Regions from separate parts of the Mus musculus genome. Here region 1 is reported to be linked to region 2. The links are microRNA targets in miRTarBase. Many come from high-throughput screens and were not tested one by one. Region 2 holds a microRNA gene; the other region holds the end of a gene's coding sequence. Distances are from middle to middle.
Evidence for each region. The annotated mature microRNA mmu-miR-343 reads UCUCCCUUCAUGUGCCCAGA and lies in region 2 at 3,646-3,665, opposite strand. An mRNA with a match to its seed (bases 2 to 7 or 8) in the 3' UTR can be bound and repressed. Matches are read on the target gene's strand: a 7mer-m8 pairs with bases 2 to 8, a 7mer-A1 pairs with bases 2 to 7 and ends in A, and an 8mer does both.

Region 1: the mRNA of Mettl9 is a reported target of mmu-miR-343. Seed matches in the 3' UTR shown: 7mer-m8 at 5,426-5,432.

What each region holds. Positions count from the first base shown.
Region 1 is chr7:121,074,163-121,081,925 of GRCm38, reverse strand. It overlaps Mettl9 (methyltransferase like 9), which reads right to left. Exons shown (of 5, transcript NM_021554.2): 5 at 5,091-5,796. The coding sequence ends at 5,591. It overlaps Igsf6 (immunoglobulin superfamily, member 6), which reads left to right and starts at 7,396. Exons shown (of 6, transcript NM_030691.1): 1 at 7,396-7,487. The coding sequence starts at 7,421.
Region 2 is chr7:19,382,590-19,390,352 of GRCm38, reverse strand. It overlaps Mir343 (microRNA 343), which reads right to left and starts at 3,710; the gene lies at 3,636-3,710. Ercc2 (excision repair cross-complementing rodent repair deficiency, complementation group 2) reads right to left here. Exons shown (of 23, transcript NM_007949.5): 3 at 6,332-6,409; 4 at 6,192-6,254; 5 at 5,938-6,051; 6 at 4,614-4,730; 7 at 4,407-4,523; 8 at 3,523-3,646; 9 at 3,325-3,421; 10 at 3,107-3,240; 11 at 2,856-3,024; 12 at 2,095-2,213; 13 at 177-246; 14 at 35-104.

The sequences.
Region 1 (7,763 bases), 100 Mb from region 2:
CACATGAACCAGTGCATACACACAGGCACCAGGGAGCCCTGCTAGGATACCTACCAAAAATGTCAACAGTGGTGCACTTGGCTACAGATCAGACAACTGAGGGTCATTTTCATTGTCATCATTTTTTGCCTGTTTTCATCTTCTTGTTAGTGTGGTATTTGGAATGCAAATGCTCTGCAGCGCATGGTGACAGTAACAGCCATCAGAATGTCAAACCCAAGTGCTGAGAAGCTAACACTGAGTTTAAGAGGATGGTAACAGACCTGGCTACTTCAACCCACCCATGGGAAAGGGTTGGGGGTTCACAAGCATTTAAACACAATATTCCAGCCAAGGCAGTGGCCCGAAGCTGTGGTCCCCTCCACTCAAGAAGCTGGAATAGATGGATCACTCGAAACTCTTGAGTTTGAGACCAGCCTGGCAACACAGCAAGGTCCCATCTCAAAAAATAAATCAGTATTACGTCAAATCCTAAACAGGGTATCTAATAACAGTGTTTGGGCATCCTGTTATTTATGTTCTAGAACTAAAGTGCAGAGAGCCAATGTTATGTCACCATTTTACAGGCACTGAAAGTAACTGTTAAATGACTTTATAATGAAAGCATTAATTTGTCTGAATAGGGCATAGTGACTTTCAAACCCAGAGGGACTCAAATTCTAGTTATGTAATAATATTCTCCCAATTCTCCAGGGAAGTCTGAGATTTCATAGAGAAAAAGGATTCTGTTGTTCGGGGGGAACCACTGGATATTTACAAAGTGCAGTTTACTTTCATTTGCAGGAAATGAAGCCAAGTGCCCCAAATTGAACCATGAAAGCATGATGCACACTAATCATTAGGGAATGAAAATCAAACAGTATCGTCTCATACACACTCAGCGACTACTATCTAAAATATGTAAGTGCTGGCAATGATGTAGAAAAATTGGGACTCTTGTGCATTGTTGGTGGGAACATAAAATGTTTTCATCATTTTAGTTCCTTAAAAAACAAAACAAAACAAAACAAAAACCCTAGAACTAGAATGGATTACAAAATGACCCAGTAGTTCCACTTTGAGTATCTGTTCCCCCAAAATGAAAGCAGTCTTTAAGAAATACACATTCATATCCACAGCAGCATGGTGCACAACAGCTGAAATATGGACGCACTCTGAGTGTCTATCAGTGGAGAAATGGATAAGCAAACTGTGGTATGCCCATACAATGGAATAGCATTCAGTCTTAAAAAGGAAATGCTGGAGCATGCTATAAACATGGCTGCAACTTCAGATGCTAAGTGAAATAAACCAGTTTCTACACACACACAAACACACACAAACACATACACACACAAACACACACACACAAACACACACAAACACACACATACACACAAACACACAAACACACACATACACACACAAACACACATACACAAACACATACACAAACACACACACACAAACATACACACACAAACACACACACACACAAACACACACACACACAGAACACAAACACACACACACACACACAAACACACACACACACACACACACACACAAAACAGAAAACAAACACATTGTATCATTCTATATGCCCAAGGAACCTAAGGTACAGAGTTGGTTATTTAATAGGTGGAGTTTCCAGTTTGGCAAAATGCAGTGCTCTAGAGACAGATGAGGGAAAGACTGCACTATAGGACTACACCTAACCAACGACTGTTTGTCAATCTGTTACATGCATTTGACTACATAAAAATAGAAAGGGGAAAAGCAAATGATGACATTCCATTTCAGTGAGAACTGATAATTAAAAAAAAACAAAATTGGCTGCAGAAGGGGCTTAGTGGGAAGGAGCACTGGCTGCTGTCAAGAGGGCCTGGGCTCGGTTCCCCGCATCCACACGGCGGCTCACAATAAATCCTAACTCCAGTTCTGGGGCCAGGTACACATAAATCATGCAAGCAAGACACTCATACACACAAAATTAAAGTCTTTGAAATAGTAAAAACCAGCCGATGGAGTGGGGCATCCTGAACAGAAATCGGGGATAGGAAAAAGACTATTAGGAAAAGAAGCAAAACCCTAACAGCCTTGAACATGGGATGGGTCCGTCAGACAGTAGCACTAGGGCCAACTAGATGAGAACAAAGTCAGATATAACTCTAATTTTTACAAACCCAGAACTAGTCCCAAGTCAGTTTACTTTTAAAATAGTTCAAAATTAAGATACTACTTGAATTTTAGAATTCTTGCCTAGAAGGTAGACGGCACAATTACACAGAACAGAAAAAGTGAAATGGAAATGTGTATAGCTGCAGTCTGGATCGTTGTCTTAGTCAGGGTTTCTATTCCTGCACAAACATCAGGACCAAGAAGCAAGTTGGGGAGGAAAGGATTTATTCGGCTTACACTTCCACACTGCTGTTCATCACCAAAGGAAGTCAGGACTGGAACTCAAGCAGGTCAGAAAGCAGGAGCTGATGCAGAGGCCATGGAGGGATGTTACTCACTGGCTTGCTTCCACTGGCTTGCTCAGCTTGCTTTCTTATAGAACCCAAGACTAGCCGGGCATGGTGGCTCAAGCCTTTAATCCCAGCACTCGGGAGGCAGATTTCTGAGTTCGAGGCCAGCCTGGTCTACAGAGTGAGTTCCAGGACAGCCAGGGCTATACAGAGAACCCCTGTCTCAAAAAACCAAAAAAAAAAAAAAAGAAAGAAAAGAAAAGAAAAAAGAACACAAGACTACCAGCCCAGAGATGGTCCCACCCACAAGGGACCCTCCCACCTTGATCACTAATTGAGAAAATGCCCCCACAGTTGGATCTCATGGAGGCACATCCCCAGCTAAAGCTCCTTTCTCAGTGATAACTCCAGCCTGTGTCAAGTTGACACATAAAACCAGCCAGTACAATCGTTAATCATTGTTCTCAGCCATTTTTAGCCAATGATGCATTATCCATTTAGTTGCGAGACCTTAGAATCTCACGGTGTAGTACTGTTTAATTTCAGGGTGTATTATTCCCAGTTACATCACAAATCTCTCTTCAGGTGGATGCAATGTGAACTTCCTCCATTATGTTGTACTTGTGTGTGTGTGTGTGTGTGTGTGTGTGTGTGTATGCACGTACTCTCCCACATCCATGTGAGGGTACATGTGTGGGTCTGTGTGTGCTGTGGTACAAGGCTGACTTCTGGTAGCTTCTTCAATTGCACTCCACTTTATATACTGAGGCAGGTCTTTTCATGGAGCTTGGAGCTTGTGGTTTCAGATAAGCTGGGGAGCCACCTTGCTCCAGGGATGTTTGACTCCTACATGCTGGGGTTCCAAGCTCTCCAAGACTTCCTAGAGATCTAAATTCCAGTCCTTCTGCTTGCTTAACAAACCACCTCCTGCCAACTCTGATGTATCTTTGATACATGAGCTACAAGTTTGTGAGCAGCCCAACTTTGTGCTGTAGGGCCCACCGCCTGTCTTCTGTGCGATGTTAATGAAGACACAGCTTCAGGAGGAAGCTGGAAACACCAAAGTTTTACGTCTTTCCCAGCCCAGCTTATTTCCTGCTGTAAACTGGCTATACAAAACAAACAAACAACAAACAGAAAACTTGGGAAGGTGGGAAACACAGAAGTGGTTTTAATGACCTCGCCCGAGGGGGAGATGACTGGGGCATTGTGTCCTCGGCACTCTCAACACTCCAGGGGGTTTGAATGCAGGTGCAGGGGGCCAGGAATCCCAGGTGCAAGTCGTGTTTCCTCTCTGCACTCACCTTTAGGGTCAACTGGCAAGCCTGCTGGACCACAGGTGGAGCTCCTCTCGGCTTCTCGAACTTCACTGGGTTTAAGCCCTCGTGCCAGGAATGCTGCACACAAAGCAGCATTATTATACTTGCAGAGAAAAGGAGGCTTCCATGAGAGGTGGACCATTGCCACTTGGTAAACAACATCACCATCTAGTGGCCAAAGGTGACAACACACTAAGACGTCCCAGACCAGATAGGACATAGGAATACATCTGCATCTGGTTTCCAAGTCACAAAATGGCATTTTTAATAAACTGGTCTTCAAAGATCCTCTGATTTTCTTGAGAATTTGTCTTTAAAATGAATAAACACATGTGCTCTCTGTTTTTCTATGGTCTTTTTCCAATAGACCTCAACTTCAGAGACAGGAGGCGCTTTGAAGCCACCTGGCTCTGAATACCCCTCCCAGGATAAAACAGCAGCCCCTGATGACGCCAGGTAAAGAAGCAAGCTTCCACTGCAAAAGAAGTATGTTAGGGTTGCTGCATTCCTCTGTTCACTAGGCCACTGTCTGTACTTCATTTACCCAAAGTTCTGGGGAAAAAAATAAGAACACACCACACCACTAACAATTGTGCATCGACCCATGACCCCTTGTCTGACTACACAGTAACAGCGCAGGGCTGCTAAGGTGGGGCTCTCAAGGCTGCTCCTAATGAACATGCTGGCCTCTCTGCCCAGGTGTTGTAGTTTTCTGTGAGTAATGGTCACAGGTAATGAACACGTGGGTAACATACTGTGACTACCTCATTCACACTGTCACCGCTCTGACTGCTGGGTCTTTAGGTTCCGGACTAGTGTCCACAATGCTTACTGTTCTTGCTAATGAGGTCTCCTCTATCACTGTGTTTCTGGGTTTATTGGGAGCACTTTGGATTCTAGCAGGTGTCTGGTAATGGTCTTCAGCAAACATACTTACTCTCAGTTAAGGATCTAGGGATAAGCCAAGTTCTGGGAAGATGGCATTCAAGGAAGTGGAAGAAGGTGAATGTCTATTTAGGCTGAATCCTGTCAGTCAAAGCCACAGACTGCTTCAATCCTGAGGAATTAAGGAAGCTTAGGAAAACAAAGCTGTTTTGTGGCCAGAAGCAGGTACACTGACTGAGAGGCACTTCCTAGAGCACTATATCTGAGTAAGGCAGGCCATTCTAGGGGTGTCAAAATTCCCTGGGCTTCTGCACCACACCCAAGCTGAACCTTGCTTTCCTTCCAGGCTCAGCCTGAGTGTTTCACATCATGCTCCTACTGAGGGCATCCATGAAGCCAAAGCTGCAGAGTCTGAGAGAAGAACATGGTGCCAGAGTCATCTCCAAAAACGTTTATTAGCATGATTAAAAACATTTTTTGAATAGTAAGAGAAGGAGTTTCTAAACATGAAAGTTATCAATGGTTCTACTTTATAACCAATATTTGGAATTGAATGGACAGCTTTATTGCCAGTCTTCATTTATTAAAAACAATCCATTGATCGGTTCCATGACATCATGACTATTGCTTTGTCTGGGAATGAGTCCCTACAGCAATTAAGTATAAAAAATATCTTCCATCATAATTGGAGAGTGACCTGCATTGGAGCGTGATTCTGAGTAAAGAGTTGATTAAAAATACACAAAGAGTTGGGTTTTGTTTTTAAAAACACTCCCTTACACACTACAAAGAAAGAATTAGTATTTTGGCTTTTTAAATTCCTACATGATACTGAGAATGACAGTCCCCAGAGGTCCCCCTCACATCACTGGATGCATCTCCTCTTCTGGAGGGTCGGTTGCAGGGGTGACTCTGAGGACTTGGGCCTCCACGTGTTTATACTGGTCTGAGAACAAAGACAGCATCGTCCAGAACATAGTAGTCATTGTACATGTCGCCTTCACACAGGTATGGCAGTCTAGTGAAAGCTTCGACGACAAAGCCGGCTTTTCTGAACACCTCAGGCAGGCTATTCACTTGCTCTTCCCAATTCTGTCCCTTGATTTCCAGAATTTCTGATGGTTTCTCCCACTTGCCACCTACTAGAACAAATAAAAACATTAAGTTAAATTCTTGAACAATGACTCACTAAAAGAGGGAAGTACAGGGAGAGCTAGTGTTCCAGGCACTGATGCCCTGGGTGCACCATCTCTAAACAGCTCCACTCTCTTCAAAGCAAGTGGACAGAGCCTAGAAGGAGTGAGAGAACTTACCCAAAGTGATGCTCTCAGGCCGCCTGCATCCAGTGCTGTTCCCAGGCTGCCTTCATCCAGAGCCTACACTGACTGAGCTGCCTGTGTGGCTCAGAAACTAGTCAGTGAATACTGAATATGGGGTTCACTTGTATTTGAAAGGAGATTTGGACATACGAGATCACGTACACTTACTCAACTTCCTGTCTAGAAGTTGCCTGGCTTAAAATTAAAATAGGCTCATGAGAAATTTCTATCCACAGAAACACAAGTGCTTTTCAGGAGAAGCTGACCCATTTCCTAAGTCATCTGTCAATCCCTTCCAAGCCTATGGGCAGTAGGAGCCTGGGCTGTGGGAAGCAGGCCAGGTCTGTTCCCTGCAAGCCACACTCTGACTACAAACAGACAATGCCAAAAGTGCACTTAGGTGTGCTCTTAGAGGCTGTGGTGACATGCCACTAAATTCATAGTGAGGCTTCTGATGCAGCGTGTGATAGAGCACGGGGAAAGGGAAGAGTACACACGTTTCAGTGGCCAGCACTGCATTCTCTCCCTGTCAGGGGAGTTCGTTCTTGGAGGGCGGGGAAGCTGCTTTTCTGGGCTTCCTTGAAGCAGGGTACCGGTGCCACACCTTAGCCTGTTGCCAAGACTGGAATGAGCTGGTGACCCAGAATAAAACAAGGCTTTTTGCCAAGTGCAAGCACTAATATCAAGTGGCTAGGGAGGTGGGCTGATGAGTGGGTGCTAATGACAGAATTTGCAGCACGTAGTACCCATCATCAGACCAGTTTCCCAGTGTGACTCAAGCTCCTCTTGACCTGGAGTTCACATGGTTCTCCAGGCCTTCTGAGACTCCAGGAGCCACTTCAAGTCCTGTTAACAAGTCTCTTTTTGCTGATCAGCTGAGTTCCTGATACTTACAAAGAACCACTTGACTAGTAAAGGCTGGGGGAGAGGGGGTGCTGTGTGTGACTCAGACCCAAAGCAAGCACCAAGGGACATAGCCATTTTGCTTATCAACACCAAGAAATCTTTCAATGCAAGCCAGGCGCACAAGCTTAACAGCAGCTGTGTACCTTTTTACCATGCCGGATGCTCTGGTCACTCCCTGGGTTTTTCTCCCAGGACTACAGGAAACATGGCCTCTGCTGCTGCTGCTCACGTCTAACAGTTTCTGGCCCTGAGAGGCCCTCTGCAGTGGAGCACATCAGTAAGAGCACTCTAAAATGCCAGGCTCTGCTTGAGGAGTACTGACCTCCTGCAAGCTCCACAAAGAATATCAAATGCCCATGGCAGTTTCTAACATACACGCACGCTTAGACTGAAATCTCAACTCTAAATGGTGAAACTTATTACAAACCATTCTTACACAATTTCTAAAAGTTCCTGCTTGTGCTTCCTTAATATGAGTTCCTCTCTTTACTTCTTCCTTTCTGAAAGGAGAAAAGTGGAGAAGGCGGCACATGCAGCAGAGATGGGCCCCGTGAGTGCACGCAGGAGCCGCCTCCGGCCAGAGATCAGCCTGATCCTTTTCCAAGTCGGTAAGAAGGTCAAGCTTTCCTTTTCTCCAGCTCATTAAGTGACCGCTGCTTCTCGCCTTATCTGTGTACTTAAGCTCTTAGCACATAATTTAAGAAGGCAGCACTACAGTAAGTCGGGGGCTGGAGGAGGTCACTTCTCCCACAGAATTAGGTACTAAAGCATAGCTGAAGAAAGGTTTCCTACCGGCCCTTGGTTGTTGATGCTGCTTTGAGCACATCTCACCAGAGAGAATCTGTGACCACTTGTGCTAGTCACTCAGTCAATTCCCACACAGG
Region 2 (7,763 bases):
CAGGAGCCCGATGAAGGAGCAGCAGAGTCCTCACCCCAGAAGTGATGATGACAGACTGGAAGCGCTCAAACACAGGCTTGATGGCCAAGGAGGCGTCCATACAGCTGCGGGACAACACGGGGGTCACACGGGGCAGAGGGCGGGGCCTGTCCCATCCACACAGGGTTGCATCTCACCTGAAGTGCAGAACGGGGTTGGCGATGGTGGGGGTCCTGTCGTCAAAGGGCTCAATGATAATGGTGAAGCCTGGTGGAGGGAGAGGCCGGGGAGTCTCAGTCACTCATCACCCCGGGACAGAACTGCCCCAGCCTGCCCACTTCTGCAAACCCTCAGGTGCAGAAGCAGTGAGCTGTGGCTTCATACATGGTCCCGCAGGTAGCCAAGCCCGCCATTCCCCAGGCACCTCTGTCCTCCAGGCTCTCACTCCTGTCCCCGCAGAGCAACCAGAGACATGTCATGGAACCCCAAGTTTGCCAGTTTCCACACTTCCCATGACCCCAGAAGGGTGTCATGCACTCTCCCAGGCTGAAGAGCAAGATTTGCCTGCTTTCCTCCCTCCCATTCCTCACCGTGCCTCTCTGCCACCAACACAGGCTAAGTAGAGGCAGGGAAGAGGGCCGCTCCTGAGGGAAGCAGCAATGGCTTTGGCAGTAAGAGGCTGGTAACCAGGTGGACCTGGCCTTGGGTGCCTTCCTGACTGGCTTTTTTTGTTGTTGTTGTTGGTTTTTTTCTGTTGCCAGCACAGGGTACCATGACTGGGATAACACTTCACAACCAAGGACAAGAAAAACAAGGATAGTTCATATTCCAGAGTCCCACTGTGAGACACCTGAGGGCCCCCTTGCCCTGAGCTGCTGTGCCAGCTTCCACTTGGCTGAATCCCTGCCCCAGAGGACAGTGCCATGGCTCCTTGCAGCACCGCTCCACTTCCCAGGGTCACCTGGAACCATCTTTGCTCCTCATTCTCCCCCAGGCTGTGACTCCGGGAAGGGGAGGATGAGGCTGTTTCAGTAGTGCTGGGCCTGGCCCCATTTGCTAACTGAACAAATGAATACATTCATGGGTTCTGTTTCACTTGGCAAAAATGATCGGGTCTTACGTGTCCAGCCCTTGCCAAGGACACAGCAGTGACCAACACAGCCTCAGTCCCACCCATAAGAGCTCCCTTGTACTAGGGGAGACAGCTATCCAGAGAGTAATGATCCCAGGCGCAGCTGGAATAGAGAAGGGGCAGGCCTCGCATAGGGTGGGCTGGGTGCCTTTCTGAAAGCTGAAGGACTCAGGCAGGTGATAGGAGGCGTAGACAAGGAGGCTTCTACCGATTGTGATGTTGTAGGTGGGGGAGGAGGAAGAGACAAAGGCCAAAGAAAGGGGCATGGTGAGTGCTGAAAGCTTAAGGAAGCAGGCAGCTGCCAACAGCCTGCAGTGGGGCTGATGGGGGGGGCCTCCTCCTTCCGAGGCCCAGGCTGGCCCAGCTGCAGGATGCCAGCTGACCTGGTTTCCTGGCTACGGCAGTAATCCCCAGGGATAAGCCTGAAAACTCAGTGTGGAGCTGGGGGGGTGGGGGGGTGGGGCAGCACACAACACATGGACAGAGGAAACATGACAGATGGACCCAAGTGACGGACCCAGAAGGTCCTGGGAGGCAGGCCTCTGTGGATCATCAGTCTGTATCTGCCTCCCTTGAGAGCTTCATGCCCAGCGCCATGCTTTTCCATCCTGGCCTCTTCCTCCCATAGTTCTCCCCAGCACACTCTCCTGTCCCCATTGTCCACAGTTCTGCATCTTCCTGCTACATGAACCTCGAAAGCAACAATCTCACCAAGTGCATCCCTTGCCCAGAACCTGCCATGGTTCCCTGGTGCCCTCAGTCACACACGAGGACTCCTCACCCCACTGATGGTGAGGTGACCCCTAGTGTCCTTCTGGTCAGTGCCACAGCACAGCCCACACACTTGTTCTCTGAACACGAGAATCTGACCACGAGGCTCCTCACTCAGGCACTCTGTATGGTCTTGCCCCCTGCTAATGCCCCACCCATGTGGCTGACCCCCAAGTCCTGCTGTCAGATCCCCAGTAGAAAGGCGAGCTCACCCTTGGCGTAAGTGCTGACGAGAGTGGCGAAGTTAGCAAGGAGTGTGAGCGGGGAGAAGTCGGCCAGGTCGGCAATCTCCAGGGTGTGCAGCAGGGAGCGCAGGCGTTCAGCACAGAACCTGAGAGGCAACGGGGTCAGGAGCGGGAAGCAGCAACAGGCCCGACTCTCACCATGTTTCCCTGGGCACCTGGGCATTGTGTGAAGCTACCCCATACTGTAGAAGACCCCCAGAGCTACCACTCCAGGCTGGAGCACAGCACATACAGTGCACAGGCTCACTGCTCACACGCAATATCCTGTTAAGACTCCCGGCTAGAGCCCGGCGTGGTGGCGCACGCCTTTAATCCCAGCACTCGGGAGGCAGAGGCAGGCGGATTTCTGAGTTCGAAGCCAGCCTGGTCTACAAAGTGAGTTCCAGGACAGCCAGGGCTACACAGAGAAACCCTGTCTCAAAAAACCAAACCAAAAAAAAAAAAAAAAAGACTCCCAGCTAGCAGTCACTCTGTTTCTGTCCAGCCAGTGTCACGGGCCCAACGCTCAAGGAGGAATAGCCACATACTTTCTTAGCCTCACAAAGGCTGTGTCACCTGCTCATCACCCAACATAGGGACACGTGGCTGCGGCACTCACTGCCAACCACACAGTCCAATGGATGCCCTCCACATCCAGTTCTGACCTGCCCCTTAGCCTTATCTATGGTCCAGACCCCTTTATCATCAGCAACAAGGCTTGGGCCCGTGGTTCCCCGTGCAGGCCGCACCTGAGGGGCTTGCGCTGGATGCACACCCGCTGGGCCAGGCCGCTCAGAAAGGCAGGTGGACTCTCCTGCACCACATGCTGCACGCGCAGACGCCACTTGACATACTCCAGCAGCCGCCGCAGAAAGCCCAGGAAGTGCTCAGCCGTACGGATGGAGCCAGGCACAGCCTCTGCAGGGAGACCCAGTCAGGTGGTACAGGGGTGCGTGTGCGGGGCAGGGGCTGGGTGGTGGGGGAGTGGGGAGTAGCTCACCCTGCAGCACCTCGTCCGGCAGCACAGGGTTGGCCAGGTGGGCATCTGTCTCCCGGGCCACACTGGCCTCCCGCAGGCCCTCCACCAGGCGCCGGTACTCATCCCGCAGCCGCTGCTCATCCGTCTCCTTGATCCTGATGGGGACATGGGACAGGAGCTGGAATGAGGCAGGTGCCCAGGGCACTGAGGCACACACAACAGTGGGAGCAGACAGGCACCTGAGCACGGTCTTCTGTAGGGTGTCTAAGTTGCTCTGGCAACGGTCCAGAGTCCTGCGGGTGAGGTTGACACTCATGGAGTCAATGCAGACATTGTCTGAGGAAAGAGCAAAGGGATGAAAGCCGGGCTCAGGCAGGCCTGGGGGCAGAGGCAGAGGGCTGCCACTGTCTGCACACCCTGATGCCCGCCCTCCTCACCGATGTTGTGAGCTTCATCGAAGACCACAACAGCCTTGCGAGCCAGCTCTTTGGATACCAGGTCTGCGATCTTGGGGTCCAGGAGGTAGTGGTAGCTGTAAACCACCACGTTGGCATGCAGGATCTGGGCACATGAAGGGAGAGGTTGCCCTGGGCTCTGCTACCCCCGCCACACCCACTCTATCCCAGGTACACAGAGGTGCCACAAAGACAGACACAACGACGGGTGGAAAGATGGACAGGACTGTTAGCCTTTTGTCTAAGCTCCACCTCACAGTTACACGGCAATAGCCAGGTGTGCCTGAATCACTATAAAAGGGGCTTCTTGCCCCCCCCCCCTTGCTTTCTTGCTTTGCTCTGCCTTCCTGCCCCTGCTCTATCCTCTAGTCCCTTCCCCCATCTCTCTCCATGTGCTCATGGGCAACCCCCCCCTCCCTCCCTCCCCCGCCTTTCTCTGCCTCTACTATCCTCTTGACACCCTTCCCCATGCCCTGAATAAACCCTATTCTATACTATACTGTCGTGTGGTGGCTGGTCCCTCAGGGGTAAGGGACGCCTCAGCATGAGCCTGCAGAGGCACCCCTTTCCCCACACCTCCATAGAACATATCTCCCCCTTTATCTTTTTATAAACACATCAAGGACCACCCAGGCAAGGCACAAGAAAGCAGAGATACTAGGACGGAGACAGACGATCCAGACAACAGACATAAAGACGTAACAGCACAGAGTCAAGTAGACAGATGGGCCAGCAGAAGGATGGGCACGGTGGCTCATGCCTATACCCCTGACAGCTGAGAACCTGAGGCAGGGTTATTCCAAGTTTGAGGCCAGCTGGGCTACAAATGAGATCCTGCCTCATAAGGAAACAAAACAACTCTTCACCGAGTATCGAGCCAGGAAGTAGGGGCACCAGCCCTGGCGCTGCCCTAGGGCCTTCAGGTCATCCAGGTTGTAGATGCCCGCAGGGAGCGGCATCTGGCGTCCATGGATGTCAAATTCCTGGGGCAAGGCCAGAGGGTGGCAGGGTCAGGGAGAGCGGCTCTGGCGTGGCCCCCACCCTGCTCACCAGTTCTAGGCTCTTCCCTGTACCTCATAGAAGCGGCAGTGAGGCAGGCTGGCATCCTGCTGGTACTGTGCCCGCACATACGACGCCGTTAGGCTGTGACACTTCCCATCAACATCCTTCCCAAAGCGCAGTGGAGTCACCTGAGGGGGCGGGGTGTCAGGGGACAACATAAAACAGAGACAGGAAGTGGTGCATATCAGCTATTGTAACTTGGGTCTCCAAACTCAGACACCAGGAGTAGTACGTCAGCTAGGGTTTGGGGGCAGTGGAAACCTTCACCTGATTTGGTATTTGGTCTTTTGTTCGTTTGGTTTTTGGTGTTTAAAGACAGAGTTTCTCAGTATAATAGCCCTGGCTGTCCTGGACTCATTTTATAGATCAGGCTGGCCTTGAACTCACAGAGATCTGCCTGCCTCTGCCTCCCGAGTACTGGGATTAAAGGCATGCACCACCACAACTGGCTGATTTGCTATTTGCTAAAAGAACTTCCTGCAGTACTGTAAGTGTGGAGCATGGCTAAAATCATCCCATCAGAGCTGGACATGGCAGCAGGTGCCTGCAATCCCAGTCACTCCGACACTGAAGTAGGAGGAATACAAACACAGGTCAACCTGGGAACCTGGCAACCCACCAAACAAAAGGTGGAAAGGAGCTGGGGGCATAGCTCAGTGGTAGGGAGAGTGCTTGCTAGCACACACAAGGCTGTATGGACAATCCATATCACAGAGAACCAGCCAAGCAGAGGGCCAGCTGGATGGTTCAGTGAATGCGGATGTCTACCGCCAAGCCCGACAGCCTGATTTCAACCTGGGACCACACAGTGAAGAGAGAACAGACTCCCAAAGCTGTCCTCTGACCGCCACGTGCACACACATACACACAAACATGTAAGGTTTTAAAAAACAAGTGCCTCAATTTCTCTCCAAACAAACAAAAAAACCCCAAACAGAAAACAACGATCCCTGAGTGGCCTTTCTCTGCAAGCACTTGGCTCAGCAGGGCTTTGGTTCCCTGATGTGTGTGGGTTGTGGAATACCGGCATGAACATAATGGATACTGTCAGGCAGGACGTGAGGCTGTCATGAAATTATCTTATTTTGCCTGTATATAAAAATACCCAATCCTTTGAGTAAGCTACCATTTAGATTTTGACCTGTCACAGGTCAAATGTGTGAGTCTGAGGTGCCATGTGGAATGTAAGCAGTTTCTGATCCTGGTACAGGTGCTACCCTTAGCCATAAGGATGAGCATTGGCCTAACAACTGAGCAGCAAGCCCCACTCATACTGACAACGGGTTCCCTCTGGGGCTTGCATGGAGTGGCCCAGGGTGACAGCGCAGGGCTCACCTCGGGATGAATGCACAGGTTCTTTCTTGAGCTCAGAGCCAGTCCTAAGAACGGCAGCTTCTCGCCCTCCTGCTGCTCGTAGAAGCTGAGTAGCTTACGAAGCTCTTCTATGACCTGCTCAGATGATGGGAGCATTAGGTGGGGACCACAGGGCAAGCACAAGTCCTTGCCCACCGGGCTACCGAGGGCAGAGATGGGGGACCACCAAGGCCCAGGGGAGGGGGCAGAGCATGGGTCCCATCTGCATTGCCCACCTTCTCAATCTCTGGCACGGTCCGTGAGCAGTAGATAAGTTTGGTCACCTCCAGCGGATAAGCCTGTGGGTGACAGGGACCTCAGCCCCATCCAGCCCCACCCCTCAGCCCCCACTCCAGGCACTCAGAAGGCCACTCACCCGCTGATAGGCCACAATCAGGGCCAATAGGGACACTGTCTTCCCAGTGCCCGAGGGCATCTCCAGGACTCCATGACCCTGAAAATTGGGCACAGAAGTAGTAAGACACAGGCTCTCTGTCATCAACGTACGCTCTGGGGAACTCTCCTTGACATGCCACCACCCGGGAACAGCAAGGCAACACACACAGCAGTGGCATCGCTGTCAAGGCCCCAGGACTGATAGTCTCCGCTCCTCCTCTTCTGCTGGACTTTTAATTGTTAATTCTTATTCCTCACCCGCCTACCCCAAAGGATCTTGCTATGCAGGCCTAGTAGTTACTAAGAATCTCTGGCTGGCTTTGAACTTTTGGCAATCCTGTTGCCTCTACTTTGAGTACTGGGACTGCAGGCTGAACCCTATTTCTGTGGCCCTCTTACTGACACAGCTAATGAGTTTACTGAGCAGCAGACAGTAGGAACCTTTTACCTCTCAGGATCACAGCATTCTTGCTTCTAAGTAGCTCCATAAACCTTACTTGGAACAAGGTTGTGAGGGCTAATACATTGGTGGGCCAGCAATATGGCTTAGCGGGTAAAGGTGCTTGTGGCCAAGCCTGATCACCCGAGTTCAATCCCCAAGACATACACGGAAGGAAAGAACCAACTCTACCCTCACGTGCACACTGTAGCATGTATACACACATTGGAAATAAGTATACCTAAAAGAAAACTTTTTTTAAAAAGTTTGTGTTCAGGGCTGTTGAAATAGCTCAGCAGGTAAAGGCGATTGCTATCAAACCTAACAGCCTGAATTTGATCCCTAGAACCCACATAAAATGATAAGAAATCTGGGTGGTGTTGGCCTATGCCTTTAATCACAGCACTCAGGAGGCAGAGGCAGGTGGATCTTTTGGGACTTTGAGGCCTGCCTGGTCTATGAAACAAGTTCCAGGACAGCAAAAATCACACAGAGAAACCCTGTCTCAGAAAACACAACGAGGGACTGGAGAGATGGCTGAGCAGTTAAGAGCACTGGCTGCTTGCTCTTCCAGAGGTCCTGAGTTCAAATCCCAGCAACCACATGAAGGCTCACAACCATCTGTACAGCTACAGTGTACTCACATACATAAAACAAATAAATCTACAACAAAACAAAACCGAAATAGAAGTGGAAGGAAAAACCCAACTCCACAAAGTTGTCCTCTGACCTCCACATACGGAACCCCTTCTTCCCTCCACTATTGTCACTACCAGGAATACCTCCAGAGTTTTCCTATACATAGCCCTAGCTAGCCCGAAACTCACTATGAAACCCAGACTGTACTTCAAACTCGAGCAATCTGTCCTCAGCCACCCTGTCTCTAGAATTACAGGCATAATTGTAATTACTATCAGTCAGTTTATGCGGTGCCAGGATGGAACCCAGAGTTTCACCCCTGCTAGCTAGGCTA